2 linked regions of the Oryctolagus cuniculus genome follow. The protein of the gene in region 2 purifies or fractionates together with the protein of the main gene of each other region. This does not show direct contact. Links are inferred from orthologs where the notes say so. Each region holds a gene or a part of one and is shown on either strand. Other genes may lie near its edges.

Evidence for each region.
Region 1: the proteins of WDR59 (region 2) and SESN2 purify together in Homo sapiens (affinity purification with western blotting; 4 studies listed by BioGRID and IntAct, with this or other methods). This does not show direct contact. The link is inferred for Oryctolagus cuniculus from reciprocal best matches to the Homo sapiens genes WDR59 and SESN2.

The regions. Positions count from the first base shown.
Region 1 is NC_091438.1:143,427,188-143,430,935, forward strand, and holds the start of SESN2 (sestrin-2), read right to left. Parts: upstream 2,586-3,748; 5' UTR 2,454-2,585; coding exon 2,193-2,453; intron 1-2,192. UniProt on the Homo sapiens protein: Functions as an intracellular leucine sensor that negatively regulates the mTORC1 signaling pathway through the GATOR complex. In absence of leucine, binds the GATOR subcomplex GATOR2 and prevents mTORC1 signaling.
Region 2 is NC_091449.1:57,464,212-57,467,959, forward strand, and holds the start of WDR59 (GATOR2 complex protein WDR59), read right to left. Parts: upstream 2,345-3,748; 5' UTR 2,236-2,344; coding exon 2,182-2,235; intron 1-2,181. UniProt on the Homo sapiens protein: As a component of the GATOR2 complex, functions as an activator of the amino acid-sensing branch of the mTORC1 signaling pathway. The GATOR2 complex indirectly activates mTORC1 through the inhibition of the GATOR1 subcomplex.

The sequences.
Region 1 (3,748 bases), on a different chromosome or scaffold from region 2:
CAGGTTCAGCCTCCATTCACTTCCCACAGAGCCTCTTCCTCCATGTTTTTTCTTGACCCATTGGGTTTCAAGTTAAAAAAAAAATATTTATTTGAAAAGCAGTGTGACAGAGAGGAAGAAGGGGGTGGGGGAGGGGTCTTCCATCTGCTGTTGCCAGTGCTGGACCAGGCTGAAGCCAGGAGCCCAGGAGTCTCCCACGTGGATGCAGGGGCCCAAGGACTGGAGTCATCCCCCGCTGCTTTCTCAGGCACATTAGCAGGGAGCAGGACTGGAAGCTGAGTAGCTGGGACTCGAACTAGCACTCCAATATTTGATGCTGGCGGCCTAACCTGCTGCGCCACAGCACAGGCTCCTGTGTTTCAGTTGGAATGTCATTGTTTATTCTGGGCATGGGATCCTGGAGGGGGCAAGGATGGAGGGGATCTTGTCTAATCTGGGTTTAGATTCCAAGGATGAGCCTCTGTCTCGTTCTGCCTCCAGCTTTCTCAGACAAGGAAGCTAATCTAACCTACTGCTGAGCTCCCAAAGCACGTGGGCTGGGGTCTCTGTTTTAACACTTATCACATGTACTTTGTATTACAAATTGTGTTTATAGTGTCTTATCTGCTTATAAGCTTCTTTTATAAAAGATGTATTTATTTATTTATTTATTTGAAAGGCAGAGCTAGAGAGAGAGGGAGGGAGAGAGAAGGAGAGAGAGAGAGGGATCGAGAGATCTTCAATTCGCTGGTTCACTCCCTGAATGGCTGCAAAGGCCAGGACTGAGCCAGACCAAAACCAGGAGCCAGGAGCTTCCTCTGGGTCTCCCACATGCATTCAGGGGCCCAAGACTCAGGCCATCTTCTGCTCCTTTCCCAGGCACATTAGCAGGGAGCTGAATTGGAAGTGGAGCAGCTGGGTGCCCATATGGGACTATGGCTTAACCCTCTGCACTACAATGCTGGCCCAGTTATATGCTTCTTGAGGGCACCTTTGTCTCTTGTCCTATGTCACCTATCACAATGTTCTGCTAATAATATGCCCTAGAATCTTCAATTAAATTCCCCTGTTAGCTACCCTGTCAAATTCATTCTAAAAAGTTTACTCTATAATATCAATGTCCAGACTACAAAGTTCGATGTTCAAAATCTGCCAAGATGTGATTCAATTTATTTTGTCAGTTTCATCATGTGCCACACCCATGTTTCTTGTTTGGCCTTGAAACTTTTTTTTCAGTACTCCTTGTTGTAAATCCCTGACCACTGAAATTGTATCCAGCATTCAATGCCTTCACTGTTTTTTTTTTAATGATTTTTATTATTTGAAAGGGAAAGTGACACAGAGAGAGAGAAAAAAGAGAGAGAGAATTTTCCTGATCACATTACTCATCTCCCACATGGGTGACAGGGGCCCCACTACTTGGGCCATCTTCTGCTACTTTCCCAGGAATGTAAGCAGCGGGATGGGTTGAAAGTGGGGCAGCTGGGACTCTAACTGGCTCTCCGATATGGTATGCTGGCATTGCAAGAAGCAGCATAACCCACTGTGCCACAATGCCAGCCCTGATATTTTTGAATAAATATGTTATTCTCCTCTGCAGAGTAACCTTTTAGAATATTCCAGGACGTGATTAGATCATTCCCAACACTTCATTTACAAAGTGAGTGATTTGTGAGAAGGAAAAGCCAAAGAGGCTGATATACTAAACTGGGCAGTCTTTTGTCATGGAATCTGCAAGGAAGGAAAGACAGGAAGCGGCACAGTCACTACCATTAACTGGGCTACAGCAGGAGTGGCGCAGCTGCTGTCTCATGTAGCTCTCACACAACCCTGTGAAGCAGGTATTAGGGCACCATTTAACAGACAAGAAAACAGGCTTAGGAGGTGTGTTGGCCAAGGCCAGACGGCTTAGCATTCTGAGCCAGGACTCAAACCCAGGCATTTATGAATCCAAAGTAGAAACTCCAGCACACCCAAATGAGAGGACGACGTGAATCTGCAAGGAGCAGGCAGGCACAGGAACTGGTGCTTAGAGCAGGTGTATTAATTGGCAGTGAGGAACATAACTGTCAAGTGGCCTCTAATAGATGGGTCAGCACATCCCTCCTTGTAGGGGAGCATGTGTGAAAAGCCAAGTTATCCCCTGGAAATGGCCACAGCAGCTGGAGTCCTGGCAAAAGGAACCATGAACCAAGATGAATCACTGAACTCACTCGACTCAGAGCAAATCTGCCGGTCAGAGCTCCATTGCTTTCCTTCCTTTCATTCAGTAAATATTTATTGACCGTGGTGTGTGTACCAGACACTGTGCTGGGCTCTGGGAATCCAGCCATGAAGCTGCCAGCCCAGTGGGATGCCGAGAGGGTGGGGTGTGGCCCCAGCCTGGGCACATTCCTCCCCTCCCCCCTGCCTTGTGATTTTTGGTTCAGTGAAGATCTCTTCCTCCTGTTGCCATACTCTCTCGACTCTTGCATCAGCTATGTTGAGGCCACTGATTGGCCAAAGCTATTTTTATTCCTCAATTGCATTCCAGTCCTGAAGATAAGTCTAGATTGGATTTGAAATGTTTTTCAGGTTTCTTCCGGCTTCAGCTTCTCTTTCAGATTATGACTCTCACAGGATTCTCATCTGTTCTGGGTTTATTCTTCCTAAATTCATTTTCTAATCCCAAATTCCGGGGTGCCCTTGCTATGATAACCTTATATCGCCACCATTCCAGAGCTATGATTTATCAGCCCAAATGTCATTTTCTGAGTTCTTATTGTCTTCCTCCCTCAGCTCTCTGAATCTCAGAACACAACCCCTGCCCCAGGAGGTTTTCAAGGAAAGAAATCCCCCTCCCACAGGCTTGATAAAGTCAGAACAGATCCACTCTCCACCGGCCTATTCACACATTCATTCCATTACTCATGAAGCCCGCATGGTGCTCGGTGCTGGGGGAGGCCCTCCCTGCTCCAGCAGACTTGTTCTGAGCCGTCCCGCTACCCAAGCAGAACTGAAATTGTTCCCCCAGAGATGTGTACTGGGGGCAGCCATACACTCTTGGAGTCAGCTATCTATCTCCCAAGACCACATTCCAGGAGTCAGGCAACCGGGGTGCTAGCTTTTAGCTCTGCGATCCCAGCTGATTTTTGTCTCAGCTCTCAGAATCCGTTTCCTCATCCCTAAAACAAAAGAATTGACCTGAGCTGCTCTAACTTCCAGAGCCCCTGTCGAGGGAACTGGTGCTGCGCGGTGCATATGCTTCGCTTTGCTGGGTTGCGTCCAGGACAGAAACCCTCAGGTTTGGAAAAGCTCGCTCCTCTTATTAAAATAGGAAAACTAACCCGCTGGGTGCTTTGGGGCTATTTGCTTAGCGTTCCCGTTGAGTTTCGTCGGCTGCGTGAGCCCTCAGCGCCCCCTGCAGGTCGGGCCCTGCCACGGCTCAGCCAGAACTGGCTGGGGAAAAAGGGTGGCCCCAAGACCGCCCCCCAAACCGTTCCGCGTTTATAGATCTTTGGGTCCCGTGACATCGCCCAAAGGTCTGGCGAAAAGGCCAGGACCGTGTGGTTGCTGAAGACTTTCCTGCTGCCAGCAAGGGCCAGTCTCTCAAAGGGCTTCGCGGCCTGAACGGACATTGTTCCGGCTCTTAGCCTGGGAGCGGGGAGCCTCGGGTCCGGAGAGATTTTGCCCAGAAAGCTGACCACACAGTGGAGGCTAGAAACTTGAGATCGGCGACTGGATTTCACCTTAAGACTGCCTCACGGAGCCCCACTTTCCTGCCCTCCCT
Region 2 (3,748 bases):
TTCTGCCTTCCAAAGCAGGCAGGCAAGCAAGCAACTTCGGAGTCTGCAGTTCCCATCTTCACCACCAGTCCCGGCCGCAGCACTTCTGTACACGCTGCCGAGTCAGACTCACAACTGCACAAGCTGCCATCTCACTGATCCTCAAGGGTACACGTGCAAGTGAGCACTGCAGAGTTGCTGTCAAGTACCACATGTCCTTCACCACTAACTGGTGACAGTAATACCACATGGCATTGTTTTATAAAGCAAATAACACTTGTATAAACCAAAACAGTTTCACCTACAGACAGCAGGTTTACTCTGAAAAATCTAAAAGCTTTAATTTTTTAAAATCATTTTGACAAGATGTGGGATGCTTTGAAAAGTTTATTGTTTTGGCCTTTTCAGACAGGTACTGTGAAGAAGTTTCACTTTTTCTTTCCACATTAATTTTAAAAAGTTAATAGACTGGTTCCTGCCCCTCCCATTGATCACTAGAGTGAACCACAAAACCATGCTAATTCACACCAAGACACATCCTTCCACTAATCAGGAAAGCAGAAAGAAAAATAGAAACTCCCACAGGCAGCTCAATTACCCAATTCACTTTGTTCTCCTACTATGACAACTGCTGTTCAGGTTTAATTATTTGCTGCTACTTCATAGCATCCTAATATAAGTGTCAGCACTTGCTCTGCAGGTCTCTTCAATTACGTTTCTATTTCAAAAAAAAAAAAAAAAAAAAAAAAAAGGAGTGAGACTACCTGGGTTTCTGTGAGAATTAAAGGGTTTGCAGTTTAGTAGCTTCCAAATTAGCAGGCTCAGAGACAAACACACAATCCTGTTCTGTCCTAGCTCCCAGTGGAAGCAATTAATGAGAAAGGTGACAGGGATACGGTTTTTCCCTAGGAGTCTAGCACCTCCCCTGGGTGACTGGGCCTCTGAGACACCATGCTGACAGTGCCAGCGGCTTTAGGATCCCTGCATCCAAACGCTGCTGCTCAAAGCCTCGATAGGTGCTACTTATCCAAGGGCACACAGAGCAAACTAGTGGGAGGCTCCTCCACTCATTCATCTTTATGGCAAAGCAATCCAGATTTCCCTCCAGAAAAATCACTGGAGTATGGACACAAGGCCCGGCACAATGTTAGTATCTCAGTAACTCCTTGTTGAATAAATGAGTGAGTAGAAGTCTGGCACACGGAGACAGCTGAATAAACAGGCTCTCCAAGACACTGGCACAGGAGTGGGGAAGGGGGAACATGCTGTCTACTGTCAAACAACTGCACGACCCCGCGCAGATACCCACTACTAGGCAAAGTACTGTTCTGAGCTGACACACGCTCTGGGGGCAGTGCCTTCCACCAATGGCCCCATCGCGGGAGGCCTTGGCCAAGTCACTGGGGATGAAATGGGCATCAGCTTCCCCCTTTACACCTACCTTCCTTGCATGGTTCTTCCAGGAACCACAAAAAGAAACCACACATAAGCAGCTCAGCACAAGGCCCAACATACAGAAGTCACGACACAGAAAAGTGGTAAAATTCCTCAGTGAGGGCTCACGTTTTTCGAAGCGTAACATGTGCCCACCACTGTGTGTGTGTGAGAGACAGACAGACAGACACACACACACACGGATGACCGCCCCAAATCCTCACGCCAATCCCGTGAGACAGGATTACTCCTTCCACTGGTGAGGAAACTGGCACGCAGAGAGCGATGACAGCCTATTACCTGCGCCAGGATTCGAACCCAGGCAATACGTACAGGGTCCACTATCACAGCATCAGCAACCACTTAACCGCTTAGGCGTCGAAGCAGCCGCTTTGCGAGCAGCATTTCATGGAATCCACCTCACCCCACCCCCAAAACCAAGGGTCAGGTCCACGCAGAAGTTCCACGACTTGCTCGACGCCCCCTCGCTCACCACCTTGGGCATGAGGCACCTCCCTCAGCCCCCCAAGGCGAACCCTATTCCCTGTACCCCCTACAAGGAACCTCGACACCCCGTCCATGCCCACCCCAACTGTCATCAAGCGCCTCCCGCCCGCCCGAGCCTGACAGCTCCAGGTAACCGGGTAGTCCAACTCCTCAGCCAGAGCCGGGGGTCTCCCGGCAACCCCTAGGACCAGAGAGGCCGCGTGGGGGAGGGGAACCACTGAGGGCGCATGCCCAGACTGCTCCGTTCGGACCCCAGCTCACCTGGGAGTCGCGGAACTCCACCACGACGTTCTCGCTGCTCCATCGTGCCGCCATCCCCCTCGCACGACCTCAGGACAGGGCCCTCGCACCCCTCAGACTCGCGTCCCCAGGCTCCGTGAGCCCCACGCAGCCTGTGAGTCAGCCCTGCCACGCCCCGTCCCCCTCCCATTTTCGCCTGACCGCCAATTATTGGCTGACCCAAGCGACAGCCCCGCCCCATCTCTCCATCTCCTCCAATTGGCGCACCGCACCCACCCAAAACAGGCACGCCTCCTCTCACTTCCGTCATCAGCTTGAGCCACCCTCGCGCTCCGCGGGTGCGGACACGCCCCCCGCCGCGAGCTCTGCGGGGAGTTGTAGTTTGAGGTGGAGCCGCGCCGCGCGTCAGTGACTCCGGAAGAGCGCGCAGGTTAGCGTTTGCTTGAGGCACTTGTTGGTGTCCCCGGCATTTCGCCCAGACCCAGCCTACCAGGCAAAGCCCAACATTCATGCGAATCGAAGGAACCTCTTCTTCCCCTTTAGTCTGAATGCTGGACTTACTGTTTCTTACAATACAGTAGCGCCTCCCAAATGTCCGGGGATTCCTTGAGGGTCTCTGAAGACGAAGCAGTTTTCATAATCACATTAAAAAATCATTTTCGGGGCCGGGGCTGTGGCGCAGCGTGTTAAAGCCCCAGCCTGCAGCGCCGGCATCCCATGTGGGCGCCAGTTCCAGTCCCGGCTGCCCCTCTGCTATGCTCTGCTATGACCTGGGAAAGCTGCAGCAGATGGCCCAAGTGCTTGGGCCCCTGCACCTGCGTGGGAGACCTGGCGGAAGCTCCTGGCCCCTGGCTCCTGGCTCAGCTCTGGCCCTTACAGCCATTTGGGGAGTGAACCAGCAGATGGAAGATTTCTCTCTCTCTCTTTCTTTAACTCTGTCTTTCAAATACATAAAATAAATCTTTTTAAAAAATGATTTTCGGCCGGCGCCGCGGCTCAATAGGCTAATCCTCCACCTTGCAGCGCCAGAACACCGGGTTCTAGTCCCGGTCCGGGCGCCGGATTCTGTCCCGGTTGCCCTTCTTCCAGGCCAGCTCTCTGCTGTGGCCAGGGAGTGCAGTGGAGGATGGCCCAGGTGCTTGGGCCCTGCACCCCATGGGAGACCAGGAAAAGCACCTGGCTCCTGGCTTCGGATCAGAGCGGTGCAGTGGCCGCGGCGGCCATTGGAGGGTGAACCAACGGCAAAAAGGAAGACCTTTTTCTCTGTCTCTCTCTCTCTCACTGTCCACTCTGCCTGTCAAAAATTAAAAAATAAAAATAAAATAAAATAAATTAATTAATTAATTTTAAAAAATGATTTTCACTTTCTTTCCCCAGTGTAGCAGTGGAGTTTTCCAGAGGCTACGTGATAAATATTGCAGCGAATTGAACGTAGAAGTGGATGGGAGAAACCGACTGTTTTCTAGTAAGCCAAATGTTGACAAGATTTACAACTCCTCTCGCTAACATTTTTTGGTTTTGGAAGATATATTTAGTATTTTTCATTTTAGAATTTATTCATATGAATTAATTTTTCAATGAGATAATG